Pelodiscus sinensis: one gene and its partners. The protein of the gene in region 2 interacts with the protein of the main gene of each other region in a pairwise test. Links are inferred from orthologs where the notes say so. Each region holds a gene or a part of one and is shown on either strand. Other genes may lie near its edges. The genes, in order: AQP1, TRIM23, HOXB5 and LGALS8.

The links.
Region 1: the proteins of TRIM23 (region 2) and AQP1 interact in binary tests that used the Homo sapiens proteins (3 or more experiments, as listed by UniProt). The two-hybrid records come from large-scale screens. The link is inferred for Pelodiscus sinensis from reciprocal best matches to the Homo sapiens genes TRIM23 and AQP1.
Region 3: the proteins of TRIM23 (region 2) and HOXB5 interact in binary tests that used the Homo sapiens proteins (3 or more experiments, as listed by UniProt). The two-hybrid records come from large-scale screens. The link is inferred for Pelodiscus sinensis from reciprocal best matches to the Homo sapiens genes TRIM23 and HOXB5.
Region 4: the proteins of TRIM23 (region 2) and LGALS8 interact in binary tests that used the Homo sapiens proteins (3 or more experiments, as listed by UniProt). The link is inferred for Pelodiscus sinensis from reciprocal best matches to the Homo sapiens genes TRIM23 and LGALS8.

Annotation. Positions count from the first base shown.
Region 1 is NC_134712.1:249,462,215-249,469,964, reverse strand, and holds the start of AQP1 (aquaporin-1), read right to left. Parts: upstream 3,641-7,750; 5' UTR 3,423-3,640; coding exon 3,033-3,422; intron 1-3,032. UniProt on the Homo sapiens protein: Forms a water channel that facilitates the transport of water across cell membranes, playing a crucial role in water homeostasis in various tissues.
Region 2 is NC_134716.1:90,184,273-90,191,909, reverse strand, and holds the start of TRIM23 (E3 ubiquitin-protein ligase TRIM23), read right to left. Parts: upstream 3,379-7,637; 5' UTR 3,230-3,378; coding exon 3,095-3,229; intron 3,004-3,094; exon of another isoform or gene 2,870-3,003; coding exon of another isoform or gene 2,756-2,869; intron 1-2,755. Other genes in the region: TRAPPC13 (trafficking protein particle complex subunit 13), read left to right, coding at 3,834-3,879.
Region 3 is NC_134739.1:14,168,135-14,176,344, forward strand, and holds the start of HOXB5 (homeobox protein Hox-B5), read right to left. Parts: upstream 3,591-8,210; 5' UTR 1,574-3,590; coding exon 1,021-1,573; intron 269-1,020; coding exon 21-268; 3' UTR 1-20. Other genes in the region: HOXB6 (homeobox protein Hox-B6), read right to left, coding at 4,401-4,660, 5,892-6,303. UniProt on the Homo sapiens protein: Sequence-specific transcription factor which is part of a developmental regulatory system that provides cells with specific positional identities on the anterior-posterior axis.
Region 4 is NC_134713.1:127,306,174-127,314,421, forward strand, and holds the start of LGALS8 (galectin-8), read left to right. Parts: upstream 1-4,711; 5' UTR 4,712-4,984; intron 4,985-7,326; exon of another isoform or gene 7,327-7,485; intron 7,486-8,248.

The DNA of each region.
Region 1 (7,750 bases), on a different chromosome or scaffold from region 2:
CCTGCTGGCCAGATGGAATTTTTAAGGCTCTTGGGATAAAAGCGACTCCCAAGGAAGCCAATGGCAAAACTACCATTGATTCCACCTGGGTACTTTACATATGTAATTAGATTTGGCTGGCTGGGAGAGCTATAGGAGTAAAATATTGGCTTATGTAGGAAAAATATATACCGTATTTTCCGGCGTAGAAGACGACTTTTTACACTAAAAAACATCCCCCAAAAATCGGGGGTCGTCTTATACGCCGGGTATAGAACGTACCTGTGCTGATACTGGTCCCCAACACGGTGCTCGGGGCTGGCCCTGGGCACATGGCGCACGGTGAGCACCGGCGGGGGGAGCGCCAGCCCCGGGCGCGCTGCGCTTGGCGGGGGGAGCGCCGGCCCCGGGCGCACAGCGTTTGGCGGGGGGAGCGTCGGCGCTTGGCACGGGGAGCGCCGGCCCTGGGCGCGTGGCGCTTGGCGGGGGGAGCGCCGGCCCCGGGCGCGTGGCACTTGCGGGTGGGGGCACCGGCCCCGGGCGTGCAGCCCTCGGAGGGGGCACCGGCCTCGGGCGCATGGCTATGGGGGGGGCCGCCCCCGGGCGTGCAAGTACGATAAATCAAATCTGATGTTATTAAATGGTGTTGCCTCGGAAGGGGGGGTAGTCTTATACGGCGAGTATAGGCCAAAACCTATGTTTTAACTGGAAAATTAGGGGGTCGTCTTATACGCCCAGTCATCTTATACGCCGGAAAATACAGTAGTTCCTGATTTTGTGGTCTGTTTAAAAGCTGAGGCCACATGCCCAAGTGGAGGACACACTTTTTCTAAAGGGATGGTTGCTTTCCCAGACAGCCCGTATTTGCTTTATTAGCCCTGTATGATTTTCTTCCCTGCCTTCTTGTCATTTCAGCACCATCTTCTGAATTTCCCCCCGCCTCCCTGACACCTTCTCTTCAAGGTCCATAGACCCCTTGCCTGCACCCAGTGTATATAATCCTTGTAACTTGGAGGTAGTCAAAGAAACAAGAGGGGTTTTGACTAGTGTCACGTACCCACTCTACAGAAGTCCAGATTCAGGGCTCTGAATTTTAGGGTGAACCAATGTGCAAGAGTTTTATGGCTGCCCAGTGTGCAGATGAGGAAATCCAAATGCTAAAACTCTGGGAAACAGACCACCCGCATTTAATGGCAGCTGGCAGCTAGGTGTTTGCAGGAGCCTTCTTTGGTTACTTCATGTCCCATGTGTTTCACTCCTGCATGGTCTAGTTCCCCCTGGCACTGGTTTCACAGGGAATGAGTACATACCATTTTTTAAATCCTGATCCAAAGCCCACTGAAGTCCATGGAAAGACTCTCATTGTTTCCCCTGGGCTTTGAGTCAGACCCATAATTATTATCCAAATTTAGAAGCTGAGTGGATAGATGGATTATCAAATTCCTGTATCCACAGATTCCAGAAAGGTAAACAAGCAACCTATATTGGAATAGAACATGAAGACTGACGACACCCAATTTTAGTCTGGAGTAATGAATTAAATATCAACGTTCACTATATTTTTCATAATATTAATTGTAGTTGCCTATGACTCCACAGTATGTTAAACCACACTACATTGTTTGTTCATTTCATACTCCCTGACTTTTTTGTTTGTTTCTCTTTCTTCTAAAGGAGTTACTTATAGTAAAATCACATTCTGATCAAACTCTTCACTTGCAAATATGCTCCCTCAATTAAACTGGATGCTGAATATTAATGTCACAAACTGCAGCTTAATTTTTTTATATGGGCGGGAACAGCCAGAAGATGTGAAATAAATGCACTTTATACAACCAGATCGAGTAACTAGCCATAAGGGAAATCCCAGCTTTAATATTCTTATAGGTAGCACTAACAAGGTATTTGTGGTTATGTGACTGAAACTGAAAATAGGTTCCTTCTAAGCCAGACAAATGCTTAAAGATATGTGTATCCATTTAGATGCCACTCTGGCCAAATGCCAACCTTTTAAGGAGGAACAGCTGCATTTAAATGATCGGAGCAGCTTTAATGAAATGCCTGTCCACAGTCACACAGCCAAAAAAACATCTGGTTGTAAAAGTGTTGAATCCAGGGTGCCTTCATAGACAGTTGCCTCCCCGCCTCACGAACAGTGCAATTCACAATTCGACATTTCCATATGTCTGTTTATGAATAAACAAAAACACAAGTGGCAGCTATGACTCTATATCAGAGAGCAAATCTGCACCAAGAGCATTTCATTGTAGAGTTTTGACCACAGGGTTTCATTTGCTACCGATCTCTCCTGCCCCTACCCCTTTTCCCTCTTTTTCTCTCTGTGGTTACTTAGATTTGTACCAATGTTCTTACACAGCATCCTAGCTGGCCTTATCTGAACCCCTAATCTGACAGCCTCCCAGAGTAACCTGAACACAATACAAATGTACATCCATCACCAGAACCAGGCACGTAGCCTGAGATTTTCAAAGTCTGCTAAGGAATTCGAACACCCAGTTACCAATCATTCTAAATGAGAATCGGGCATCTAAAAATCATTAGGGCATCTAAAAATCATTAGGTAGCATTGATTATCTCATGCTTGACACAGAAAAGCAAACACAAACATAATGTGATTCCAGTAATCACAAACATACAACCTTGATTCAGGGGAAAGAGGACCATTCTTTGATCTCTGTCTTACAGAAGATGCTAACTAACCGAGTTAGTCTGTACAGGATAAACAGAAAAACAACACATGGTCTGGTAGCACTTTATAGACTAACAAAACATATAGATGGTATCATCAGCTTTTGTGGGCACAGCCCACTTCTTCAGATGACTGGAGTTTATAGAAGATGGTTTAGCTATCCTTAGGATTATAGGAGTAGCTGTGCTACCAAGTGACCGTATAAGCCTTAAACAGTTGATCCTATGGCAACTGAAGTCAAGGCAAAGGTGTCCATTGACTTCAGTGGGTTTTGGATTAAACCTCTTTTAAACACAGTTTTTTGCACTTCTTGAAAGTGAAAGAGAAAAGCTTATCTGCTTACCGCATTGAGTCCAAGGGAGTTGTTTGGAAGAGACGAAGTGACTCCCGAAAGAATCGCCGTGGCCACCACGGCCCCTAGGCACTGTGCAACAATGTACATGAAAGCCTTAAAGAGGCTGATCTGACAGCTCAGCAGAAGACCCAGGGTCACCGCCGGGTTCAGGTGCGCACCGCTGATGTGACCCACACTTTGTGCCATGGTGGCAATAGCGATCCCAAAAGCCAGAGAGACTTTTACATTGTCTTGAGTGGCTGTTGCTGTTTTGTTGCCGACTACAGGAAAATTGAAGCCCAGTGCTGAGCCGATGCTGATAAAAATAAAGAGGCTCATGGCTAAGAACTCAGCCACTACTGCCCTCCAAAACATTTTCTTTTTGAATTCACTAGCCATCTTCTCTCTCTCTCTCACACACCCTCCCTTCCCCTGCTTGATATTTTTCTTTTGAGGTCTGAGGAGAAAGCTGAAGAAAAAACAGAGTGCTTGGATTATTTATAGGGCTTTGGGTGGTCTGTAGGAGGAAAGGGGTGTTACACAAAAGGAGGAAAGAACATCTACATAGATTGATGTAAGGCAGTACATGCGTGCCAAAGTTTTTTCTTCTCTACTTTTTTTTTCCTCTTTTCCCCTCCCCTCAGAAACTCCGATCTCTGCTGCTGTTTTTAAGAGGCTTTTTAAAATCCTTATAAAAGAATGTGTAGGGGGTGCCCCAGAAGTTTTACCATCATTTGGTTACCCTCTATGTGGTCATTGAGCATGCAGATTGGGCTTCAAGGTTTTACAGGATTTCTCTCTCTCTTTGGACTCAACCAAAAGGTATCTGTGCAGGATTGTGTTTTAATTGCTCTCAGTTACAGCAGAGGCAGGCTGCGAAAGTGGATAAATAATAAAACTGACAGCTAAAAGTGCTCTCTAGAGACTGTAAAGATCACACTGTATTTCATTTTAAATCAGGCACTGGTGTCAATCTATAAAGACTCTATAGTTTGTTTCAGATCCCAAGGGGGTTTTATGGTGTCAATCTGGAAGAACTTCACTGAAGTAATTTGGAGGCTTTATACATGTCTAATTATGATCAGAAAGTCTCAGAGGGATAGCTGCGTTAGTCTGTAACTTTAAAAACAACGAGTAGTCCTGTGGCACCCTAAAAACTAACAAAGATATATATAGTATCACGAGCTTTCATGGGCAAAATCCACTTCATCAGGTGAGCTGGAGAGGAATAATAGAAACCCAGATATTACACATTTATGTATATATTTATATATATTATAAATTGTAGAATTTATAATGCATAACTATATGATCAGAAATAATTCTACTGCAGACAGTGGAGCTATTCTGGTTTTTACCGGTGTAATTGAGATTAGAATCTGGCCCCAAATAAAATATGTGTGTGTGTGTGTTGTACTTGTCATTTATGTGCATGTGCCATTCATATATATTTACAAATAGCCTATATACTATGCACCCATTTTATTATGTTCTTGTAACAACTATTAGGGTCTCTCAAGTCTTCCCCTGTTAACACCCCTATTCTCAGTAAATAAGCACAACGCTGGAGTACTTGCCCAAATCCTGCAGTGAAAGTTGTATGCAAACTTTTCTTTAACCTCCGTCTTCCAGAGGGCAGCTGTGCTGGTTGTCACCACGGCGACTGGCTTCTGCTGCTGCAGATAAACAGTACTGGCCAGAGAGGAAGATGAAAACGATGTGCTTTATTTTGCATACAAAATTAATCTTGCAAAGGTGCCAATACATCTTTAAGTGCCAAAGGTCTAAGAGCCTCAGTTGTTGCCGCCTTAAGACCCGTGCAATTTCATTGGCTTACCTCCCCTGTGTTATCAGATCTGTGTGCACTTTAAAGGCTGGCAATTCATTGTTCTCTAAGTCAAAGTATCTTCATTTTTCAAACACTGGCTTCAAAGTTCCTATGTGAGCTGATCCAAATTCAGGGGTGGGGAAACAGTTCTTAGAGCATGAATAAATTTAAAATCAGCCTGATTTTTTCCTTCTTCTTGGAGAAGAAAAAAAAAGTTTACCATTATTATTATGTATTGCTATGAATTTATAATTCTACCTACTTGCCATTTGAGATTTTAAATTCACACAGCATGTACTATGGGTATGAAAAAAGAAAAAAAAATCTGACAGATACACACAGAGCTAATGTTATGTAGTCAAGGAGATTTTTATAAAGATATTCAGTTCTTTTCAATTTAATTTCATGTAAAATCAAAATCCAGGTGCTAACCTGTTTGCAATCTATTGTGCTATGTTCTTATACTTTCTGTTCAGCAGATGTGCTTGGTTTTCTTTAGGACAGGCTTTATACACCTACAAAATATATCTGCACCAGTGAAACAAAACAGCAACAACAAAGAAAAAGGACTGCTACCACAATGGAGGCCAGAACTCCGAGATCTTTAAATGGCCCTCAAAACACTGCATGCCCCAACTCCACCCTTTCTGCCCAAAGCCCTGCCTTTTCCAGGAGCAAAGAGCCAGGCACTCCCCACCTTGCTCAGGGGCAATTCTGTCAGTCCCCTCAGTATAATAATAGTACAGAGGTAGAGTACAAAAACTGGTGGCAATCAGAGAAAGAATGCATGAGATACAGGCAGAAATCTATGTTTGCCAATGATACCTCTGTAATACTATGATATATCATCCTATCTTATCTGCATCAGCTTCCATGTGCATAAAAGTCACAGGCTACATCTAGACGGGCATGATTTTCCGCAAATGCTTTTAACGGAAAATTTTCCATTAAAAGCATTTGAGGAAAAGAGCGTCTAGATTGGCACGGACACTTTTCCACAAAAGCACTTTTTGCGGAAAAGCGTCCGTGCCAATCTAGACGCGCTTTTCCACAAAAAAGCCCCGATCGCCATTTTCGCCATCGGGGCTTTTTTGCGCAAAGCAAATCTGAGCTGTTTACACTGGCCCTTTTGTGCAAAAGCTTTGTGCAAAAGGACTTTTGCCCAAACGGGAGCAGCATAGTATTTCCGCAAGAAGCACTGATTTCAGACAGTAGGAAGTCAGTGTTCTTGTGGAAATTCAAGCGGCCGGTCTAGACACAGCCATACGGTTTAAGGCTAAAAGGGACCAGCACATCAGTCAGACTTCCTCTACACAACAGGCTACTGAATGTCCCTCACCACCCCAGCAGCAAACCCAACCAGCTGAATTAGACTCAAGTATTAGAGCCCTCACAGAACTAAAATAGTGTGTGCCACAAGCAGAGATCTTCAGGTGCTCTGGTGTACCAGGGCCCCAGCCCTCTGCAATGGCAGGGAATTGATTTGCTGAGATATCTTCAGATCACCCTAGCAAGCAACCCTATGTCTCATGCCAAATGATTAATGCAGTATGCTGTTAGAGCTCACTGGGGTACGTCCACACAGCAGGGCTAAAGCCAAAATAAGCTACACAACTTGAGCTACGTCAATTGCATAGCTTGAGTCAGAGTAGCTTAACTCGGCTTTTGGCACGTCTACACGGCAGGAAGTTGGAGGAAGAGTGCTTTTCCTTTGACTTCCCTTACTCCTCATGAAATGAGGGTTACCAAGAGTCAGAGTAAGAAGTCGTCCAGCTTGTTATTATTTTGAAATAATGGCTTGCAGTGTAGATATGCTCTTTGTTATTTCACTCAAGCCCAGGGTTGTGAGTTCAATCCTTGAGGGAGCTATTTAGGGATCTGGGGCAAATCTGTAAGGGATGGTACTTGATCCTACCTGAGGGCAGGGATCTGGACTAGATGATCTTTCAAGGTCCCTTCCAGTTCTATGAGATAGGTATATCTCCGTATATTTTTTAAATTTTAAAGAATAACGTTAGTTATTCCAAAATAACGCTGCTGTGCAGACATAGCCCAGGTCACCTTCAGAGTGCACCAGCAGGGTCCACAGGCCGATCAGTGTGCAACATGTCAGTATGCTTTAGAAATCACAGCCCACAGTCAGCATTAATGCATCAAGTGGACAAACCCTCATAAAATACTTTAGTTCATTAGCTTTATGCAAGGAGTTTATTCTACCCTTCCTGATATGCCTAATTGCTCAGATTTCCCTGCCATTTGAATGAGAGACACAATACTGGGTTCTCCTTTGAAATGTGTTTTCTGCTGTCAACAGAGCAAACATCGTATCTCCGGGAGTTTTCCACTGATGTGAAGGGAGTTTAAAAGTCAAAGGAGAAGAGATGTGCGCTATCCTGGGAGTCTAAGTATGTCTACACTACAGAGTTAATTCAAAATAACAGACGTTATTTCGAATTAACTGTAATAGCTGTCTACACATACAAACTGCTGTTTCGAAATAAATTCGAAAGAGCGTAGCCCTTATTTCGAATTAGGTAAACCTCATTCTACGAGGAATAACACCTAATTCGAAATAGCTAATTCGAAATAAGTGCTGTGTAGACACTTATTTCGAATTAGGGGGCCTCCAGCCCTTCCCAGTTCCCCCTGGTGCCACTCTGGGCCAAACCAGGAAAACTTGTCTGCTCCCGCCCTAGCCCCAGAGCCCTTAAAGGAGCAGACTCTGGCCACAGTGCCTGTGCCAGTTGCCAGCCTGACAGCACACAGCCAGCAGACCGTGCACCTGGCACAGCATGAGCCAGCCACCCGCTGACACCCAGCCCTACACCGCTCCCCAGGACCAGGCTGGCGGCTTCCAAGAGCCTGTCAGGGGCCGCAAAAGGCGGGTGCCTTTCTGGTC
Region 2 (7,637 bases):
CACCGGCTCATGCTACCCCACTTGCTGCCTCTCTCTGATAGAAGCAGCAAGTGGGGGGAAGCGACTAATTGCTTACATCCCTATTTAGAATAGTGATAGAGATGTAGCCGTGTTAGTCTGTTGTAGCTGAAACAAAATATAGGACTATGTAGCACTTTAAAGACTAACAAGATGGTTTATTAGATGATGAGCTTTCATGGGCCAGACCCTATGTAACTTTGTTCTCACCCACAATTATTTCCAGTTTGAGAACAACTTATACCTCCAGATCAGCGGCACAGCAATGGATACACGCATGGCCCCACAGTATGCTAATATCTTTATGGCTGACCTAGAACAACGTTTCCTCAACTCCCGTCCCCTTTTACTCCTTCTCTACTTACGCTATATCGATGACATCTTTATGATCTGGACGCATGGCAAGAAACACTGGAGACGTTCCACAGAGATTTCAACAATCTACACCCCACCATCAACCTCAGCCTGGACCATTCTACACGAGAGATCCATTTCCCGGATACCACAGTACAAATTAACAATGGAAAATTAGAGACCACCCTCTACAGAAAACTCATCGACTCATACAGTTACCTACATGCTTCCAGTTCCCATCCAGCACACACCATACAATCCATCATCTATAGCCAAGCCCTTCGATACAACCGTTCTTCGATACAACTGTTCTAATCCCACTGACGAGACCAGAAACTTCAGGATCTCTATCAAGCATTTATAAACCTCAACTACCCACCCGGAGAAATAAAAAAGCAAATTGAAAGAGCCAGACGAATACCTAGAAACCATCTACTTCAAGACAGACCCAAGAAAACCAACAATAGAACATCACTTGTCATCACCTACAGCCCCCAACTTAAATCTGTCCAACACATTATCAATAAACTACAGCCCATACTGGAACAGGACACTAAACTTCAAGAGACTCTGGGAGACAGACCCATAGTCTCCTATAGACAACCACCTAACCTCAGGATGATTCTTACCAACAACCACAGGACATACCACACTAATACCAATCCTGGTACCTTCCCTTGCAACAAACCTCGGTGCCAGCTTTGTCCACATATTCTCTCTGCTGATACCATCATTGGACCTAACCAAGTGAGTTATAAGATCAAGAACACATATTCCTGCACATCCAGAAATATATTTTATGCTATCATGTGCCGAAAGTGTCCGTCTGCTTTGTACGTTGGACAAACGTCTCAGACACTTCACCAAAGGATCAATGCCCACAAAACAGATATTAGACAGGATCACAAAGAAAAAACAGTTTCTTGCCATTTCAACCAGAAAGGACACTGTCTCAACGACTTAATCACTTGCATCCTGCTTCAAAAGCCTTTTAAATCTGCACTTGAAAGGGAATCCTCTGAACTGTCATTCATGCTAAAATTAGACACTCTACGCTTGAGTCTCAACAAAGACTCTGGCTATCTCACCCATTACGAAGATAGCTTCCCCAATTATCACCTCTAATACCATTAACTCACAGACATCTACCTCCGCCCCCCCACCCCCCGCCCGCATCCTCCCTCTGTTCTGAAATTTGATTTGTTCTTGTCATATGTGTTCATCATTTTTTTAATTGTATCCTTTGGTATATATGGTTGTGACAATTTTCTTCCACTATTTGATCTGAGGAAGTGGGTCTGGCCCACGAAAGCTCATCATCTAATAAACCATCTTGTTAGTCTTTAAAGTGCTACATAGTCCTGTATTTTATCCCTATTTAGGGCCCTACCAAATTCACAGCTAGGACTGCAGAGATAATGCATGAAAGAAGGCCGAGGGTGCACACGATCCCCCTAATACTATGGGCATGATGAGCAAAGGGCTAGAGATTCTGGACAACCCAAGAAACTAGCTAGGGAGCATGGTGCTCACAGCAGGGGTTTGGCCCCTGCACTCAACTGCAGTGGCTGGGTGAGAGAGGGTGGAAGGGTGCAGAGCAACATTGCTCCTCCATCCCAGCTACCAACCATTTGGGGCTTGGGCAGGACCACCCTCCTCTGCACTCAATGGTGGGAAGTAGAGCAACAGCAGCCAGCAATTAGGGGAGTGCTTTGTTCCACTTCTCTTCACTGTTGTGGGTGAGTGCAGGGAGGTTGTGAACCCTGCTACCCGCATCAAACTTCTGCTAGTCCTGCAGGCTGCATAACTCCTAGGTAAGGTCTTGGGGAAAGAGATGGGACAGGGGTGGAGCCGCGATAGGAAGAGGTGGGTCCTGAGGCAGAGAGGCATTGTGTAAGCCGTCCTCCAGCCAGGGGTGGGGTGGGGAGAATCACGTGGCCAATGGTGCCTCCCTCCCCTGACTTTCCTCACCAGACTCTCTAGCGGACTGTGAAATATGGTCTTGTAAATGAAATCTGGCTATCAGAAGACAATAGCAGCATTGGCACCCTTATTTCTGCATTACCTGAAGAGCTGGGTGGCCGCTCCTGGTCAAGGCTACGCACAGCAGCGCAAAAGGGTAACATGCTATGTTATTGTCACCCTTACTCTACCCCTACTTCAACTGTCAACACTGCCTTCAGAGCTGGGTTCTTGGTGTCCAGCAGCCACCACTCTCTAGACACCGAGCTGTGGAGGCAGTGCAGAAATAGAGGTGGCAATACCACAACCCTTCTAAAACAGCTTTGTCCCGCGCTTTTGGGTCAGGATCCCCATAGTTACACCACCATGAAATTTCAGATTTAAAGATCTGAAGCTGTGACACCCTAGATTTTAAACGGACCGTGCAGTCGGTAGGGCCAACCCCCGCCCCCACGCTAGGAGCCCACTCGTCTCCCAGCGGGCTGCCGCCTGCACTCGCGGGAGCCGACGGGACCCAGGAGCCGCAGCAAATCATTCGTCCTCCCTCTGGCGGGCTTCTCCATGCCCGCGCGGAAGCCACGGGAAGAGGCGGCGGCGGCTGCACAGGGGCTGTTTGACGCAGTTGGGAAAAGGCTGCGAGCCCCGCGCGGGTCACCACCCAGCCCCCTTCCCGGGGCAGGGGCGCAGCATCACTACGCTCCGACAAGCGCTGTGGCACGAACCGGGCGGGCAGCCCCCGCGCGGACGCGGTGCCTCTTACCTTGACAGCAGCCCCAGCCGGCCCCCGGCTACCGCTGTGCCGGGGGCCGGTATCCAGCGCCGCTCCGGGCCCGGCCTTGTTTACACTCATAGCCGCCATGTTGGGAAAGGGAGGCGGAACGAGCCACCTCCGCATCAACAAGCCAATAAGCCAGCAGAGACAGGAGGACGGGCCACGCGCTGACGCCACCGGCCTTGCGCTGTGACGTCACTACGCGAAGCATCCGCGCAGAAATGAAAAATAATCCTGCCGGGGTTTTCTCCGGAGGCCGCCGACAACGTCACTGCGCATGCGTCTCATTCATTCCCCGTGAGACGTAGGAAGACTACAGTTCCCATCATACAATGGCTCTCAACTCGTGAAAACTACAGGTTCGGAGATAATACGCCGACATCCGCTCAGTCACCTTGAGAAGACTTAAACTCCCAGCATGCAACGCGATTAGTCCAGGTTCCCTAGAAGACTACTCCTCCTATCACCGCTCGGCGTGCGCAAGTCCCTCGTGCTCCTCTGTGCGTGCCAAGGCTCAAAGGGAGCAGTGCATGCTGGGGGGTGTAGTGCTTTCTCGCTCCTGCTGGGGCCCAAATGGCGCGTTGCATGCCGGGAAACTCACCTCCGGGTTTTCCCGGACTCGCTCGGTTGGGCTCAAGTTGCGGAGCCGCGTCGTGTTCCTTTCGCCATTGGCAGGCGCTTGGCCGGGGTGTGGGCGGCGAAGGCTCCGCGTGGGGTGCCCGAGACCATGGATGTGAATCAGCCGAAGCAGGAGCATCTGCTGGCTCTGAAAGGTACCGAGACGGCAGCTCGACGCCCCTCCCCCAAACCTTTGCGTCCGCGGCGGCCCGTTCCCCGGCTGGGCCGGCAGGTGAAGCGCGTCCCTGGAAGGCCTCAGCCCCAGGCCCTCCGCCGGGGGTGGGGCAGAAAGCGAGGCGCAGGCACCGGCTGTCGGTTGGGGCCACCGGGTGGAGCAGGGAAGCGGGCCGGGGGTATGTCGCGGGTTCCTGGGGGTGGGCCCCTGCCTCCCCCTTAGCCCTGACAGTGGCTGTATTGCTCAGGCGGCGCTGCCCTGCCCTGCGGGGTGGCATGAGAAGCGGGCCGGTGCGACTAGCGCCTTTGGAGGAAGAGTGAAGACCTGCGTGTACTAAAGAGCAACCGCACAGGTGTTGTCCTGGGGGCTGCCTGCTTACCGCTGCACTTGCTGGAGGTGTCACAGAAATGTGCAGTAGCAGACGGGGAAGAACTGCATCATAGGCTAGTTTTCAGTAGGACTTGGGCAGAGATTAACACTTATGTAATCAGACGATGTGGGTTGTGTGTAGGGTGACCATATCTCCCTATGCTGAATATAGGACAGAAAAAATTACTCACTTTCAAGTGAGTGGCCATCTGTCTTATTTTTTAAAGTTTGAGAGCTCACAGGGAGAAAACATGCATACGCATGCATGCACACTACACAGTGGGTAGTAGCATATCCTTGCAGAACTCCTCTCTTTTCCCCCACCATCCACTATTTTGTCCCTGCCTCCCTGCCCACTGTCAAAAAGCAGCTAACACCTTAAGGTTGCTGCTGGCTACTAACATAATCCAGCCTCCTCCTGGATACAGCACAGGCAAGAAGAGGTTAAATCTTAAGCATGTATTGTGCTCCAGGGCCCAGAAAACCTGACTGGACGGACTTCAGGGAACTCAGTTAGAGAGATGACTCAACAAATGAGTGTCTCCAGACAGAACCATCCCATACAGAGCCAAATCCCCACCCACCCCCAAGCTTCTGTGCAGCTTCTGTGCAGCCTAATACAGAGAGCCTAATACACTTTTGCCTGGACTAGGGATGTTAAATTGCAGGTAGTCAGCTAGTCGAGTAGTCAATGAAATTTCCATCGACTACTCGATTCGTTGATAAGAGGGAAACTGGCTGGGAGCTAACCCTGCTGCATCTCTGCCTTCTAAATGTATTAAAAGTTGCCAGGCTCTAAATACCTCTAGAAGGCAGAGGCATAATGGGAGAAAAAGGCGTGAGCCGGGACAGCTGATTCCTGGCCCTTTTAAGCTGTCTTCCCCCAGCACTGGCTCCTGCTTCCCCCAACTTCTGCTTCTCTCTCATGGTGGCAGCAAGTCGGGGACAGAGGGAAGTGACTAATGGAGTCAGTACTTGACTACCCAATAAACATATGCTTATTGGGCAGTAGATGAGTTGCTTATATCCCTAACCTGGACTACCCCACTGAGCCTGTTACTTCTCTAAGCCCCAGACATATGCACCTGGGCCCCCATCCAAACAAGCTTCACACACACACACACACACACACACAATAGAACCCATTTTGAGAACCATTCACATACATCCAGACCTCTCATGCAGAGTACCAACCACTGTTCCTGCATCCAGAACTCCCATACTTCAAGCCCCCACTAGTCCACCTGCATCCACATTGCCCCGTACAGAACTCACTGCACACTTGGATCCCCTCCACCCACACACTAAACCCCTTTACATTTGGATCTTGCCAATCTGGACCTGCCTCCACATACCTGATGCGCTTGGTGTAGAGGGACAGGATCCTGGGATATATTAGGAGCAGGCTTGGCTCTTCCCTTGTTTTAGGCTTCGGTGCAGCTAGTCCATAAGGGTGAGCATAGGGCTGTACGATGATCATCCACCTCCATGCAGCCAGTGACCTGTGTTTTCCACTGCCGTGATGGAACCTCCATATTTATTCATTAACAAACAGCATTTGCAGAAGGTATGGGAGTTTGGTGCATAATTTTTCACTCAGGAATAAGTACTTCAAACTCTTTGAAGGAAAAATATACAAGTGAAGAATGTTGTTTTATTAATAGGAGATTGGTCAAGCCTATAAACACCTCAGTCGGATTGAAAGAAACACAAAGCTATGGGCGGTGGGAAAGCTATGCAGTGCTTTGCAGGTGAAGAGGCGTGAGGGTGAGAGAAGATCTAGTTGGGAAAAGGATGACTACTGTAGTGATACTGTTCTGCATGGATTGGAGAGGGAAAGGCTAGAAAGCTTGTGGAAGTCACAGAGCACGTAAACAACTTTGACTTAGGGTGATGAAAACTCTGTGTTCTGCAATAACCTCAGTTTGCAGAAGAGTTTCAGCATGTGCAGCAGAATATTTACATGTTCGTAAGACGATAGCATTTGATATCCATATGTATTTTTGTCTTCTAACTCTTCTTTGCTCCACAGACAACTACATACTTAATTATTTCTTCGTCTCCACAGTCCATAACTGATTTAATGAGTTTTCTATTCTATGTACTTCAAGTCAAACATGCAAGGGAGATGAACTCCATAGTGCCGTGATGACAATTTTTGTCAGTAGTGAATTGGAACCTGTAGCAATGAGAGCAGAGCACTAAATAATCTGTCTTCCTTTTTGTCTCTGAATAAAGGTGATATTGCTTTTGGCATTGTCATTTATCATTGTACCTGCACATTCATGTTAAGTAGCACTAATGAGTAATTTAAGATGAAGTCCACAATCCTGTAACAGTTGAATTCAGTGGGACTACTCAAGTACATAAGCAGGGCCCTACCCATGAAATGCATGTCAAGAATCGTGAAACTCTTTCCTATGAAATGTGACTTTTTTGAGGTCAGCCATGTTGCAGAGGGACAAGACTTAGCTGTCCCCTGCATGACAGAGGGAGATCAGATTTATTTCCACAGGCAGCACAAAAATGAAGATGGGCTCTTGGCTTCCACCCTTTTTGCCTCTTGCTGGAGCTCAGGGCAGATGGCCTGGGGAACAGTGCTCGGGGAAGCTGGGTTGGCTGCTGCTGCCGCCACCGCCACCCACAACTCCTGGCACAGCTTTGGGCTGCTGTTATCCCCTCTCTGCTTCAGCTCTTCCTTAGTCTGGGGGCCACCCAGGCTCTAGCTATAGCTCCTGCTCAGACTCAGGAGACCTGTCTAGTAGGCTGCCACCCTCTGCAGCTCTTGCCCAGCTCAGGCCTTCCCCAGCCTCCCTGTGGCCTCTTTCTGGGATCTTTGTGCTTGACCTCTGGGGCTTCTGCTTCCTTTCCCTCCTTCCGCCCTCCCCCACCCCGAGCTGGGGCTTAGGAGTCTTTGTTGGAGCATGCCACCCCATGCAACTCTAGACTCCACAGCTCCTGCCAGGCTTAGTGCTGCCCCCTCTCTTTTGGCTCCTGCCCAGGTCCTAGGCTGTGGGCTGCCCCCTGCTGCTCCAGCTGGGACTTTGAGCTTTTACCCCCTATAGCTCTTGTCTAAGCTCAAGGACTTGGGTGGGGGCTGCCACCCTCTTCAACTCCAGCCCTCACAGCTCCTGACAGACTCAGGGCTATGCCTCTTGCCCTGTGGTCCTGTCTGGCTCTCCTCTTCCTCCCCCAGCTCCTGCAAGGACTTGGAGCTTTCATGCCCCATAGCTCCTGCCTGAGCTCCTGGCTTCTGACACCCCCCCCCCATAGCTACAGATGGGGTTTGGGGTACCCAGACTCAGTGATGCTGCCTCCCCACATGGCTCCTGCCTGGGATCTGGGCCAAACAAGTTTGGGCCTTCAGTC
Region 3 (8,210 bases), on a different chromosome or scaffold from region 2:
TGATATTCCTTTTCTATAATTCATGGCTGAAAGGCGCTGCCCGCGGAGACCACGCTCATGCTTTTCAGTTTATTATCTTTCTTCCACTTCATTCTTCTGTTTTGGAACCAGATTTTAATTTGCCTTTCGGACAGGCAGAGGGCATGGGCGATTTCTATTCTCCTCCTCCGGGTGAGGTATCTATTGAAGTGGAATTCCTTTTCCAATTCTAGGGTCTGGTAGCGAGTATACGCGGTTCTTGCTCTTTTACCGTCTGGTCCAGTCATGTCTGAATGATACGGACAACATTGGGTTTGGGTTTGGTTTTTTTTTGTTAGATCAAAAGGCAAATTATTCCCCTCCCAGGACAATCATGAATGTGCACTTGGTTATTTCAAAATAGCCTCCCCTCCCCCACGTGTAGACACCCTCCCCCCAATCTCCCAGTTCCGGCATATACAATTCAATATTCACGATTTAACTGCACCCTAAAACTCTTATCATTTTACCTACTGTGTGTGCGTGTGTTTGGATCTGCAAAATATTGACTTCCCCTGCCCCCCCCCCCCCTTTGCAAACCGCTGTTCCTGGTGCAGTGTGCTCGTGGGTTTTATTTTGTAATTAGCAGATTGTCAAGAATACACACACCCAAAATAATAAAGGACCGGGAGCCCCATCTGTCCAGATAAAGCCCGTTTTAGTTCTCCCCTCTCCTTTTCTCTCCCCTCCGCCCCCCACCTTTCCTCCCCCATCCGCAAATCTCCCCGCAGTTTTGAATGACCTTTTCTCTCTATACATATATGTATATATATTAAATAACCTCACATTTCGCGGCAGGGTTACAAAGACGTGGCACGGAAGGCAGTTTTCGGCTTAAAAGCACCGATCAGATAAATAAATACGAGGAGAGAAAGAGCTGGATTTCTTAATCAGGCGCCTCCTCCGCTCTTCAAATAAAACCGGGGAAAGAAGGAAGAAAGGGGAAGGGGGAAAAAAAGCAGAAGGGGGAAAAGGGAGGGGAGGAATAAAAAGTAGCTGTACCATGGCTAATGTGAAGCTTCCTCATCCAAGGGAATATTTGTGGTGTCTGCCCTTCTGTTGGTCCTGTGGATGTAGCCACGGGCTCTGTCTGCGCCCTGGAAATATTGTTGCTGTTTATTTGGGTGCCCTCTTCGGTCCCCGAAGACGCGCTGGTCTCGTCTATTTCTGTGAAATTTGTGTTGGTGCCGGCAGAAGGAGCCGGGTCGGAGGGGGACGGGGCGGGTTTGCCTCCATGGCTGTCGCTGTTGGAGCAGGGAAGGGACTCGGGAGAGGACAAGGAGCAGCTAGACGCCTGTCTAAACCTGCTCTCCTGCGCTGGCGGTGAAGAGAAGCTGCGGGAGCTGTCTCCCACCGCCCCAAAGTGGCTAGAGGAGGCCGAGCGGTTGATGCTAAGGTCCATCCCATTGTAGTTGTAGGCATAGGAGCTGGAATGCATGGTGCCTGAATCTCTGTACGACCCGTTCATAGCACTGCTAGTCCCATAATTTAGCAACTGATACTCGGGGCCATTTGGATAGCGCCCTGAGAACGAGTTTACAAAGTAAGAGCTCATTTGGGTTATTTTGGAGGGCTTGATTTGTGGCTCGTGGTCGTTATAACCCGGTGCTTGACGATTTATGATGTATTAATGAATTATAGCAATGCACTGTACTTCGTTTTTGCTATGTATGCGGCCAAATATGGGGGGGGTGGGGGTGCGTTTGGAAATCACGTGCTTTTGTTGACCAGTCGTAAATTCTCACTGATGACCTCAAGAGGTAATTCATGCTCTATGGTTACAAATAATGACGATCTGAGAATCGTTAAGGCCCAAGTCAATGCAAGCCTGGAAAAAAAAAATTCAGAAGACAGAGATTTTTTTCCACGTTGGCGGAATGCGCCACCTACTGGGCGCAGGGTGACTCAGCAGGCGTGCAGGGTGACTACCCACCTTTTAATGTATTTTTAAAGTAATTTCGCAGCAATTTGCACTCTTCGTGTTTTTATTCTTTTGTTAAAAAGCACACACACAGAAATGCCCCCTCATCCATGTTCATCCCGAGCATCTGCTGTCATGGTTTTTTAATTTTTTTATTTAATTTTGCAAGTGGAGGGAAAAAATGTTGATCAGATCCAACTCGGGGATTATTGTCAACAATCAGTTTTACTCCTGTGATCTTTGTATGGGGGTGGTGACCGTTTTTAAATGATCCGTCTTTTATAATAATGACATTTGTGGTGGGGAGTGGGCGGACAAGTCACCTTTGGAACTGGCGCTTCTCTGTTTGAATACCTTGGGAAAATAACGGAGCCTGCTGAAAGAAGAAGAAAAAAGCATGTGCGCTTTATTTATTTAATTTATTTATTTTAATTGGCACAATGAAAGTTTGGCTTTCTCCACCTTCTCATCATATTATCAAGTGCACAGTAACACCTTGTAATTCTGGAGGGAAGCGACAGGAAGAGAGATCAGCCGTTGAAACTCGGTGACAATGTTGCTTTTAAGATATTCTTGGACTTAGCCTCCCTCTCGCACACCCCCCTTTCAATACAACATAATTCTATTTCCCCTCATCGCAAACCTGCAAGAAATATTAGGTAGCAAGGAAAACCTGAAACTTGACCGGGCGGTGCTTTTTGTTCAACGCTGCTGGGGTTTTTTTTCCAGGCAGTTTAGGAATTTCAAATGCTTGTCTGCAACTCATTGGAAATTATGCGCCATATTGAAAGTGACATATAATTATAATAATTACGGGCAATGAAAAGAGTGGCAATAATAGTAAATGTCCTACAGCTGTGCCGCTTCTGCATGAATTGATTTTAAAAGTGACTGGCATTAAAACAGCTTGTGACATGAGGGAATGCATTAATACATAGGTATTTTTTGGGGGGGGGAGGAATAGTTCTTTTGAAAAAGCATTTTTTTCTCTCGCGTGAAGCCTCCTCCATGTGACTAGAATTGAGTTGAGCAATGGCTTTGTTTTAAATCTGCTCACCCCAAGGAGAAACACCATTTCTTTTCGTTCATTGTGCATTTTGAAAAAGCCAAGAAAAGTTTACTCCATGGCCTCTCCAAGACCTCTTCGGTCTTGAGCGCAGAGAGCAGCTTTTCTCAAACTCCAAGGCACAATGACATTGCCAGGAGAGCCAGCTGAAAGAGGTGTGTGTACGTCCATTTAGAAAACACCCTCACTGATTTTATTTTTTTTATGCTTAAATAATGCTCACCGTCTTGGAGTGGAAAAAAAGTTTCAACTAAAAAATAAATAGGAAAAGCCTGGAACCTCGCTTTGTTTACACTGCCCATCTCTCTGATTTTGGAAAGTGAAATAAGGGGCCAGATGTTTGAAAGATGCTCGACAAACATTATGTATCTTCGGTCGAGAGGTGGGAGCAGAATTTTGCCTCTTCCTTTGATTTATTATGTATATGGAACGCTTTCCCTCATAACTCTAGTTACTGTAACAATAAAAAAGCCATCTTAAAGCACAGTGTCAGCTCGGAGATATGGTTGGTGAAAGGTCCCGCATTTCAGATTAGGCAAAAAGAGGGAAAAGCAGATTTATCTCTCAACTGTAACGTCCGTATGCCGCCAGTTGCTTGTCCTAGCTGATTAGAAGTGTCACACGCGGGTAACACCAGAGCCTGCCTCGCTAGCAACCATTCAGCTGCACAGGAATGGCACATTTTCATAGCTAGGGCTAATAATACTGTTAATGACACCAACGGGCTGAGCAGGGGTGCGAATACTTTGCTTTTATTAGAGTACTCCAGGTCCATACCTAAGACAAACTACAAACACGACACGTACAAAAATTAATAAAATAGAATATTTCTTGTTGTTGCTTTTGCATCTTTGTAGGTAGTACTTGTTCCTTCAGTAGGTTTTCCTCTTAAAAATGAAACTAATTACGAAGACCCCAGGGTTTGATTAATTTACCAAAAGGAAAAAGCAACCAGGGGTGGGGGAATCTATAAGTCAATCGTGCATGAAACATTTTACAAAATTAAGACAATAAACACCAAAAATGACACATATTGCAGCACCTCCATTAAATACAAGAGTTAGCAGGTTACTAACAGTGACACCAAGGGGAGAAACACAGGTAAGAGTTCCAAATTATTATTATTTTATATTATATTATATTTGGAGGAATAGAACGAAAAAAAACCCTCAACTAGAAGCCTGGTTTTATTTTTATGACACGACAGATTAACTGATCACGAGTCCATCGGTGCAAAGTGATGTCGGTGGCAGGCCACCTTCAAACTGTCTCGGGTATTTTACAAAGCGTGCACCACGTCGGGGTGCGTTTTTAATGCCACTCCAACCCGTTCCCCCCCACCTTCTCCCTCCTCTAAGTGTGGGTACATTCGCTCTTTCTCTTAAATATTTTTTTTCACTCCGCGGCTTTCTCTTCCTCCTCCTCCGCGCTCAGCTGCGTGGAGTTGAGCAGTTTGTTTTCCTTTTTCCATTTCATCCTCCGGTTTTGGAACCAGATTTTGATCTGTCGTTCTGTGAGGCAAAGTGCGTGTGCTATTTCGATTCGCCGACGCCTGGTCAAGTAGCGATTAAAGTGGAATTCTTTCTCCAGCTCCAGCGTTTGGTAGCGGGTGTAGGTTTGCCGGCCTCTTCTGCCACTTGGCCCGAAAGATGAACCTGTTAGGCAAGGAAGGGGGGAAGGAGAGGATACCCAAAGGTTTATTCGAGTTCAGATCATAATGCCATTTGGGCCGGACACTTAGAACTCTGCAGAGTTTCTGTTTAGGGGCGATGGAGTCTGTCGTTCTGCCTTTGCTTTCCGCTTTACCTCCTTGCACCAACCCAAAGTCATCTAGGCAAAGTGCCCCGGGCTCCTTCTTTTGCAAAGCCAGCCCCGTAGCAAACCCCCTGAGTTCGCCTTGCAATGGGCATTGCTCCCTTTGCTGTCTGCTGCTTCTCCTGCATAGCTCGAAGGCATGAAAAGTTCTGCCAGTACCAGCCATTTGAGTGCCGGGCTTGGAAGACCCTGCTCGGTCTGTCTTATTCCATTATGTAAAATCTCAAGGTGTCTCTCCCCTCTACCCCCACACACCTTTGTGTTTTTCCTCCCTACCGGCAGCAGTAATAGATCTGGGCATTTAAGCAATAATGAAGTATATCGATCTAGACAAACTCTGTGCATTAAAGGGGATCCAAGACTCGATGTCCTCACACTAATGGACATCAATTTGGAACTTAAAAGGCAACAAATAATGAATGTAAACATGGGAGGACTGTTACTTTATTTTTGGATTGAAGAGATAGCACTTAAACCAGCTATACATCACGGGGGGGGGGGGGGGGAGGGAGCATTCTCCCATGGCAGACTTTTCATTACGCGTTGAGTTTCATTAAAACTGTAGTTCTCTCTTTTCAAATATTTAAGCCCTTTTACATTATTTAATTCCAGCGAGGGGAGGGTGTGTGTGTGTGTGCGCGCGCGTGAGTGAGTGTGTTGGTGTGTGTGTGTGTGTGTAGCCATACTGTTGTCATTGCGAATAGAAATCTCTCTTGTATGTGCAGAAGACACCGAGTTAGATAAATCATTGGAAAGAAGTGACATACGGATTACAGCGTGCAAAAGAGAAAGAAGATACGGGCTTGTCTAAGTATGGCACAAACTTTTTTGTGTGTGTCTTTAAAAAAAAAAAGAGGATCTGGTGAAAGAACCGGGCGAGAGAGCAAGACTGCCATAAAGTTTTGGGTTGTGTCAAGCATAACTTCGAGTCCCGTCCATTGCTGGAAGTTGGATCTGCGCTAAATTTCCTGTTTTCCTTTTGCAAATAAGAAGAGGCGGGAGGGGGCAAGGCGGCGGGGGTGGGGGGGCGGAATAAATATATATATATATATATATATAAAAGGAACTCACTGTTGCAAGAATTCATCCTCTGCATCCAGGGGTAGACTGGGGTAGAACACTTCTGCTCCTCACTTTCCCCGAAAACAGTTTTGCTCTGGGCGCAGTCTGACTTCCGCTGGTCTGAGGCAAACGGGACATGGTCCTCCAGATTGGGGTTGGCACAAGCAGGGTCTTTCTCCCTGTAAAACCCTGCTACCCCATAGTCACAGGCGGAGGTCCGGCTGTACGCCCCGTTCGCTTGCTGGTAGTAAGAGGAGGAAGGGTAACCCTTTTCCTGCACTCCGCTGGTTCCATAAGTAGCGGGGTAGTGTCTTAAAGGATCCGCATATCCCGAGGCATATAACGGGATTTGTCCCAGGAAAGGCTCCTGCCCGGCGGCCAGGCTCACCGGGAAAGTGGAGTTGACAAAATAAGAACTCATTGGGAGGAGGCAGCGGTCCTTCCCCGGCCTTATGATTTGTTGTGTTTTATAGTCCAAGTGGTTTAGCTATTAGTAGTATATCGGAGATTGGGTTTTAGCTGAAGGGGATGGCTGGGAGCCAGCGAGGGACACAAGGAAGTAGAACCATCTGATCATGGACTGACCAATCGCGAGCGCCTGAGATTGCAAAATAGCACCCATGAGGGGTTTGCAGTGCACGGGGGACCCCCAGAACAAACCACCCGACCCCTCTTTTTTCCTCCCTTTTCAACTACCACACGCACCCCCTTCACCAGATACGTTATGATCCGCGAGAGAGAAATCCCCAGACATTGGGAGTCTCTAAAACAATCATTAAAAACACACACACATACACCAAACACATACAACAGAGAGAGAGAGAGAGAGAGAGAGAGAGAGAGAGAGAGAGAGAAAGTTGAATCCTTTTATTCTGCAAAGTTTAATCCCTGGTTGCCTGTTATTGCTTGCAGACTATGTGGGTAATAGTGCTATGATTTTTCTTTTTCTTTTTCTTTCTTTTTTTATTTATTTATTTTTTTGCATCGAAAGCAACTTTTACTTTATTTTTTATCGGGATGGGGGTGGGGCTAAATAGACCGTATCTGTTCAATTAGCTCGGATATAGGAAAGGAAAGGTGGGTGCTGGAAGACGGGAGAAGAGAAGTCAAGATTGGTAACTTATTTCTCAGGTTTATCCAATGGATAGATTGACAGAGAAAACGCTTCCTTTTAAAGGGTCACACGCTGCCTCATCGCATTCTAGGTACTTATTTTGTGGAAGAGTTGCACAGCCAGGAGATGAATGGGAATCGAAGTGTTACCTTTATTCCGGGCTAAACACTCATCTAGAACTAGACATATGTCCCAAATTGTGCCCTCTTGCGTTTTATTGTTCATACCAAATCTATGTTCCGACCCTACACAGGCAGCGTTCGCTTACGGCCAAGAACTGTCTGTATCGATTGCCACTGATCAAGATTTTTTTTTAAATACAGTTGTTTGGCGTGTCTAACGGGGAACGATCACTCTGGCTCTCATATTGTAACCCCCTTTCCATGTGGGTCTGGTTCCCACTACCAGGGACTTATTTGGGAAAAAAAAAGTTGACACCTCTCAAGGAATAAACTCGAAATTCCGTGGGGTTTTTTTCCTCCAAACTAGGGCGAAAGACCGAATGAAATGAGTTTGGGCTGAGAGGGGTGGCTCATATTTCTGCTTGTATTCATTAGCGGTAGGTGTGGTTGGCAGTGGCGAGTCGCTTCTTCAGATTGCTCTAGCAGAAGACATGGTGAGATTTAAATATTTGGCCAGGCATGTTAGAGTCGTGTTTTTTTCAGAAATGTCCTCAGCAATAAAACTGAAAATGGAGTGGTTTCAGGGGCATTTCCAAATTCATACCTATCTGTCTGTCTGTCCTATGCAATGAAATATACAAAACACCACGTACACACCTAGATGTGTGTGCTTCGGCCCTAGGATTGCACATCATTTACATGGTCACTACAAAACTGCCAATTTCTGCCAATTTATGAAACTGTTCTCTTATTAGGAGCGAATTTATTTTAAACACTGTGTTTACAGCTCCAAAGCCAGAGGATTTTATGCCATCCCTGCCGTGGGCACTGGTCGGAGCGTTCTCTTTATAATTCAAGGAAATAACATGCAAAGGAAATAGTTTCTCTCCCCTCCTTTCTGACTGATGTCTATTATATTTGTTCTTGCAGAGTTTTCCTTTGTGTATGGAGTGGACCCAAACCTACGCAGATTTGGTTTATGGGCATGGGAACACGAGATTAAAAGAGAAACTTGACAGTCCGTTGGAAAAAAACAACAACAACCGTGTATTGAACACAATGAAGTGAATCGCTTTGCAGAAGGCAAACGCT
Region 4 (8,248 bases), on a different chromosome or scaffold from region 2:
ACCCGTACCACCTCGTGGTACAATATGGTATTGCAATCTTTTAGTCTTCAGTAGTCAAAAATGTGATCACTTCTTGAAATGAAAAATAGCTAAATATTTTTCAGCAATCTCTCAACAAGAAGATATGCAACATTTAAAAACTCAAAAGACAGGATGGTCCTGTAGGTATGGTATGGCACTCAGACTCAAGACTTTTGTTCAAATCTCTGCTGAGCCACAAACTTCCTCTATGACCTTGAACGAGTTACTCAATCTCACTGTATCTCAGTTTCCCCTGGGCAAAATGGGGCTATTACTATTTCCCGTCTCTCATATCTGTTTAGATTGTAAGCTCTTTGGGAGCAGGGACTATCTCTTGCTAAGTGTTTGGATAGCATCTAGCAAAAGGGAGCCCTGATCTTGTTCAGGACCTCTAGGTATTACTGTAATGCAGATAAATAAGATACAATTTTTACCATTAATTCTTTGTATTAAGACAGAATACCATAATAAAAATTAAAAAGCTATTATACCATTGGTTTGTAATCAGAACTCCTCCAGGTACGTCTGATTTTAAAAATAAATTACAATGTTGCCTATTGATTTTAAAAAGTAAGACAGTGAAACAGCTTTCAGTATCCTTTCACTTGAACTAACACTGGCATTACGTACACCATGTGTATTGGATAAATTAACTAGTACTACCTGACACAACACAGCAATGGTATGCTTAAAGCAGGGGCGGGGAACCTTTTTTGGGTTGGGGGCCACTGACCCACAGAAAAAAAAATCAGTTGGAGGCTGCACACAAATGAGAAGCAAACATACAAACAAAAACAAAAAACCCCTCACTGATGTGGCCCCTGGCCTGAGAAGGAAAAAGACACTCTGAACATTTCCTTCACACACTAGAGCTTAGGGGTGTCCATCCTAGTAGATTTTGTGGGATGGTGGGGGAACTGGAGCACCAGCATGGGCTTCCCAATGCTGGGGGAGGAGCTGAGCCTTGGGGGCCGAATCCAGGCAAGCCAAGGGTTGCATCAAGCCCCTGGGCCTGAGGTTCCCAACCCCTGGTTTAAAGGAATACCAGTGAACAGCCTTCTCAGATGGGAGGAGGCTATGAATGTCATGGTGCCTGCTGGAACTGGTGAAGTAACAGGGGCATTTTTTTTAAGTACCTGTACTAGTTGGTGCAGGGTCTGACTCATAGGACTGATATTTTTCAAAAATCACTAATCTACAAGGCAAATCTAGAACATTAGTCAGGGCTAAAACATTAACTTACCAAAGAAGAATCACAAGAGGCCACTAAAAACTCTCAGCCAAGAAAAGTGTGTAAATGGGATAGGCTATCAACTTATTTAATCGATTCCTAATATAACAATATTGATGATCCATTATTATCCATTATTGATGATCCATTATTATATCCAATTAAAGCTTTCAAGACTCTTAGGGTAAGTTCAGCCAGCACATGTTTGAGCCTGCACTCAAGCCCACCCCTCCCTTGCATCCACACACTAGCTTTATTAATCTAGGTATAGGTGCTAGAACCAGGGGTGCTTCTGCACCCCTGGCTTGAAGTGGTTTCCAATATTGACAGGATTTCAAGTTTGGTTCAACTGCTCTCAGCACACCCACTATACAAAGTGTTGCAGCACCTCTGACTCTAGGGCTCAAACCTAGAATTCCTGGATCCTGCAGAGCTGGAGGTCCAAGCCCAGTGGCTTTTCTGCATGTATGCAGCCCTCGCTTGACTTAGACACATACAGAGGACTTCTGCTATCCCAGACTCTTTGGAGCAAATTTCTTAGTCTTCTCTATGCCAACAATCCTTGATGTAGTCTATTGGCAGTGCCAATGGGAACAAGTCAGAACAGTGTTAAACCCTGGTTTGCTGTACACCTATGTGTTCCCAGGGCTGGGGAGGGCTGGAGATGCGCACTTCCCATTGGAGACGACGGTGGCCTGCTCCTACGGTGCGGGGCAGCTTAGCTCCCACAAGGACCTGAGCAGCAGGGGTGGGGCTACAGGCAGAAGGAGTAGGGTGGGGTCTTACCTCCTCCAGCCCTATATTCATCCACTGTGCATGCCTCAGTTGCTCCCTTCAGTGCAGTTGCCAGATCTCCACTTTACATTCTGGCCCCTGCTGTGCTCCCAGGGGTTGCGTGGGTAGGTGTGCCCAGGAAGCAAATGGGAGCCTGCCCCAAAATCTGCCCTCAGCTTCCTGCAGTTGGCTCCTTGCTGCTGAACAGAGCTTGCCTGGAGCAGGGTGCAAAATTGAAAGGTGGGAGGCAGCTCTTGGCTGCCAGGATGGTGGGGATCATCCCTCCCCCAGCTGTGCTGAGGAGAGCAGCTGCTTGGTCCTGCCCTTGCTCCCAGCTCCTCCGTCCCTGATCTTCCAGAAGTTGCGTGTGCTGGGGTGCCTAGTTAGCATGCGGTGTAAGTGCAGTGAATGGGACTCATCCCCAAAATGTCCCCACACCTTCCTACAACCTCTTATCCTTGCCTCCTGGGGTGCATCCAGGGCAGGGATACAGGGTTGGAGCACACTGCATCTCAAACCCTGTGGGTGCATTTCATTCACAGTCAGCAACAGCCAGGGGGGGAGGGAGGGTTGCTTTTTCTTTGAAACTTATATTTTGTCAAACTTTGGAACAATCCAAAATAAGTAAATAAACCAATTAACCAAAAACAACTACTCTGAACATTCCATTTTAAAAATTAACAATTGCAACAAGGTTTCATTTTAATAGCTGGACAGCAGTGGAGACTGATGTCCTAATTATCCTCAGAACAGGTGCACCTCCAGCTCTGCCCATTCTTCCGAGGCCCCATCCCCCATCACGGGGAAGTGGAATGGCATGCGGCCCAAGCCTCTCCAGCCCCAGAGCAGGGGGAGGGCAAAGGGCGTGTGGCCTGAGCCTCCCTGGTCCCAGAACATGAGGAGGGCAGAGGGCATGCAGCCCAAGTCTCCCCAGGTCTTGAGCACAGGGAGGGCAGGCACTTGGGGGCAGCAACACTCTTCCCCCTCCCCCCCAGTACACCTACAGTAGGTGTTCTGGAGGCAAAGTATGGGTGGACCCAGGCTGGCAGTTGGGAAAGGCAATGCCTTGCCCCACCTAGCATACCCGCTGCCCATGCTGCTTCTCTTTCAGACCCCACGTTGCCATCAGCATGTGTGAATGCTGTTTGTGGGCACTTTTGCTCACAAAATACTTCCATCCCCTATCAGATATGTTGGCATGGAATATACAAATTTAGGGCAGAGCAAGGTCCATGTAATCAGGAACTTAACAGCTATATTAAAAGTTCATTATATTCTTCTCTGTTACACCTCAGCCTCCCACTAACTGGGCTGCAAGAACATACAAAGCGGGCAGGAGTTTTTGCCTCAAAGACGGGGCGGCCTGTGAGCCTAGGCGAGCTAGGCAGTTGCCTAGGGTGCCGCTGCCCCATGCACCCTGTGATGACGTCACAGCCATTGACGACCGTGCAGGCAGAGGCGGCGATTGCGCCGCTCCGCCTAGGGCGCCAGCTGCTGCAGCTGGCCTCGGGCCGCTCCTGCTCAAAGAGAATGTTTGTGCGGGTTGGACTGTCAACTTTCTAAAAGCCAAAGACCCTTACCCCACTCCCTGCCTTTTCTATTCTTTGAGGCTACATGCTCACTTTTTCTGCCCTCCCTCTGTCCAGGGCCGGCCCACAACATTTTGGCACCTGAGGCGGGGAGCTGAAATGACGCCCCATGCCTCCTTGCTTGGGCCAAAACTTTGAAAGGTCTCAATTCTGCCTTCTACTTGTTGTACTCCTCTCATGGTACTGCTCTGCTACCTACATATGCACCAGCAGCAGACACAATTTTCTACACTCTGGGTCCCAGTAGCACCCCTCCCCCCAAGTCTGGCACCTGAGGCGATTGCCTCAGTTCACCTCAAGGTAGGGCCAGCCCTGTCTCTGTTCTTGCTCTCCCCCACCCTCATTTTCGTCGGACAGGGGCAGAGGGTTGGGATGAGGGTGATGGCTGGAGCTTTGGGGTGGGTCTGGAGAAGAGCGATTTGTGGTGTAGGAGGAGGTTCTGGGCTGGGTCTGAGGGGTTCAGAGTGTGGGAGGGGGTTTGGGTGTGATGGGGGTGTCCTGGCTGGGGCAGAGGGTTGGGGCACAGGGAGGGATTTTGAGATGTGGGTTCTGGGTGGTGCTTACCATGGGGGGCTCCTCGGAAGCAGTGACATGTACCTCAGTTCCTTGGCAGAAGTGTGGCCAGGCAGCCACACTGCATCTCAAACCCTGAATCTGCATATTGCCTGCCCCATAGCTTCTGTGACCATCCCTCCCCCTAGGAGCCACAGGTCAGGTCACTGCTTCTGGGAGCTGTGAGGAGCCAGGAAGGGAGCCTGTCATCTTTGTGCCAACTGGACTTTTAATTGGAGCTGCCACTGTCCCTTTCCAGCTGGGTGTGCCAGGGGAAAGCCAGACACCTGGCAACCCAAACTGAGGGAGTTGTGATGGACACAGATTTATGAGGCTCTCAGCAATTCCCTAATCTACCTTAAAAATTTTTTTGTTAAAATTAATACAATTTGCATTAAGCAGCAAGGGGGCCAGAGTTTGCACCTGTGTAAACACCACGTTTCAGTGCTGAGGAGGAAAGGCCGTTTTGATGCATTTCACTCCAACAGTAACGGAATGCTAGAGCCAGAAGGTTCCATAACAGTTGGAGATGACAGTTGTGCAGCTGGCAGGAGAGCAGTGCTGTGTGGGATAGGGGGTAATATGTAGCCACCTTAATATTTGCACAGGGTCACCAGTACAAGCCTGCCCATGCTACTCAGGCCACACTGCTAATTTATTGCACTAGCTTGAGCAGAGCTAGCACATCCATAGCAATCTAAACTGGCAATTACGCCTCCCAGCTGCAGTGCAGACAGCTCCCTGGTGGCCATGGCAATAGAGTGGAAACAGGAAAAGCTCACCAGTTTCCAACCCCAATCCCAGGCTGCAAATGAAGGTAGGTTAACAGCAGATTCAGAGAACTGTCAGGGAACAGAAATCTGGAGAAGGACAAGGACCCATATGTTATCCTGCTGCTGCATTACATACTACGTGTAGCAGATATTTTTGCAGCCTGTGTCTGTCTGGCTTCCTGCAGCTGATATGCCAGTGGGAAATGATGGAAATCCCACCTTGTGCCAGGAGCTGCTGGGCTCTGACCAGGCTTTCTGGTTGGGTGAGGTTTTTCTCGCTCAGGCTTGGAGCTTTCACTTGTCTCCGTGTACCTTAAAAAAGGAGTTCTGGAGAGGCAACTAAACACCAAACAGCACTCCATAAGCTGTGACAAGGGACCCCCACACAGGAAAGAAACTGTCATATATCACTGAAAAGCTTCAGAGGGGTAGCCGAGTTAGTCCGTAACAGAAAAACTTAAAAAACAACAAATAGACAAGTAGCACCTTAAAGACTAAACATGTTTTATATATTGTTGAGTTCGCTTTGCGAGGGGATTGGGTACCTGGGTTACTGGGTTAGGATTTGTGATAGAGTGAAACCTGGGAGGGGTGGGGAGTCTAGGGCCAATTTTGGGGCCTTTTTACCTGTCCTGCTGAAGCTAAGTCTCAGTCTCCAGATGAAGAGGGGGGTTACCTGGCTGCCTGAGGAGATGGCATGGGAGAGATGCCAAATGCTTGCTACTTGTAAAAAGTTCAGTGGTGAGCTGGTAAGACAAGACTGGAGATCAGGGGTTGGCAACCTTTTCAAACCACAGAGCCAAACTACATCAAAAAATTCAGAACAAGTGGTCAACAAAGAATGCTCATTTACCTGGCTGAAAATATGCAACTTCATATTATTGATAATTGATGTGATGATCAGGGCTCGACGGGCGAGTAGATTGTAATCCAGAAGAGCTGGGTTTGGGCGATCTACGTATGCGCAGAACTATCTACGCATGCGCAGATTGCTGGACAGTGTGGCTGGCGAGCGGGGCTCGCCGTGGTTTGGCAAGCCCTGGTGATGATTAATAATAGTATACATGAAACATTGTACTCACAGACTTTATTTAATGGGACTTCTGCTGCTGCATCTTTTCGCACATTTCTTTGAAGTTTACATCATAACTGTTCAAATTCAGCCTCATGCATGCATTCAGGCTGTCCTCTGTCAATCCTGAGCGCAAAGTACCTTTGACATGATTCAGGGGGGTTTGGCTGCATGATGGGCTCAAGGCACAGGGTTGGGGTGTATGGGGGGTGCAGGAGTGTTATGGTAGGGGTCTGTGGATGTGGGGGTGCAAGAGTCAGGGATGGGATGCAGGACGCAAGCCAGGTGTTGGGGGTGGGAAACAGAGTATGTGGAGGGGCCCTTGGGATGGATTACCTTGTCTGGTTGGGGTTGGGCTACTGTACCTGGGCAGCAGTGGCTGGACGAGGGGCTGGGCCAGGATTATCGCAGCAGGATCATGGCCGCCCCTCCTACCCATGCTGCAGCAGGAGTGGAGGCTACCCCCAGCCCTTCCTGAGGCCAGATGGGGGCTGGACTATGGGGCTTGCCCCAGGATCAGGGCAAGGGCCAGGACGCTGCAGCCAGATGGCATCAGAGAGGTGAGGTTGGTGGCTGCCCCATGTGCTGAGGCTGGAGCTGGAGCCAAAGTGCAGCTGCTCCTGGAGCTGCACTATGGCCCTGGTCCCAGGAGCGGACACACCACAGCTCAGCTCCAGCTCTGGAACACGGGGCAGTTACCCACCATGCAGCTCCGCTAGACCGCATGGCAGCCGCTGGAGCTGGAACCAGGAACGTGGTGCAGCTGTCCCAGTACAGACAACTGCACCGTGGCCCGACTCCAGCTCTGACATACAGGGCTGCTGCCCACCACACAGCTCCACTAGGCCATGTTTGGTGCTGAACCGTGAGCCATAGGTTGCTGACCCCTGCTGTAGATACTAGTGTCCTGCAAAATCTGTGTCCTCCTGATCATTTTTTGGAAGCAAGGTAGCAGAAGACAGACATGGGGCTGATTTAAGTTCCCAACTCTATACCAAGCAGGATGCTAGAAGGAGAGCTAGTAAGCAGCTAAAGAAAGAATGTCATTCTCCTAGGCAGCAATTTTCCCCAGGATTAAATTCATACTACTATTTTAAAGTGCATACAAAGAAATTAAAGTATGAAATGAATAATGCAATTGGTTTCAAAAGGCAGTTTTAAACAGTAACCTACCTCTAGCAGAAACAGAGGCACAATAAAAAATAAACCCACATTGTCAGCATGGGAGCTGAGAAACTTACACTGGTCCTTTAAGAAATGTCGGTAGAAAGAAGTCAGGCTTTCTGAGCCACATGCATGTGGTGATGTCATTGTGTTGGTCCATGGGAATTAGGAAGTAGAAGTGGAGGAACCATTTTTCCTGTGCAAAGCAGAGTAACCAGCTGAATTAAAGCCGTCAGAAATGGATATAGATGCATATGCTTTACAGTCAGATTTCAGTTTGAAGCTTGGAAGAGGTTATTAGTTACAAAGGTAAGTTAAATATAAATTAAATATGATTAAAACAGATTGACAGTATCCTTTCTGGAAAAAAAGTTGAAATGTTTAAAATCCAGGTGTGTGTGGAGGCAGAGAAAAAGGATTGAATCCAGTGAGGGGGACCATACAGAAGAAACAAAGCAAGAAAACTAAAATGGCAAGGTTAAAATTGTATTTTAAAAATGTCTTATGTTATTAAACTCCTCTGATCATTAAAATTTAAACCTTTAAAATTAATTTATTTTTCATGAAGGTCTTCTTTTGTTTACTTTTTAGGTTTTTCTCAAATGAGTCATTCACTTTATACACTCTGTATTCACTTTCTACTTCTGATGTACTAACACAATTTTGGAAAATTCAGGGAACAGACATTGCATGGGAACGTTTAGAGCCAAGCAAATTAATTTTACTGCACTGCTTTATTTTTAAAGGTGGACATTTCTCTTACTATCATTATTATGTAAAACTTGTTTTTTAAAAATAATATCTGTGCTTTGTGTTTAAATAGCCCTGACTACATCTCTTTAAGAAATTCTTAAATGATAATCTGACTGACTTTAGTGAATGGCAGGATTTTCTGCCTATCTGGTGTTTATTACCAGGAATATTTTGGAGTTAGTGAGATAATACATAGTGACATTAAATTTCAGTTTTTCTGCTACAAAATGGGGGCGGGGAACCCCTGTAGGTGTTTACCAGTCTTAGAAAACTCTAACTTTAGTCATGCTCCACATTTAGAAATAGAAATAATGGCACT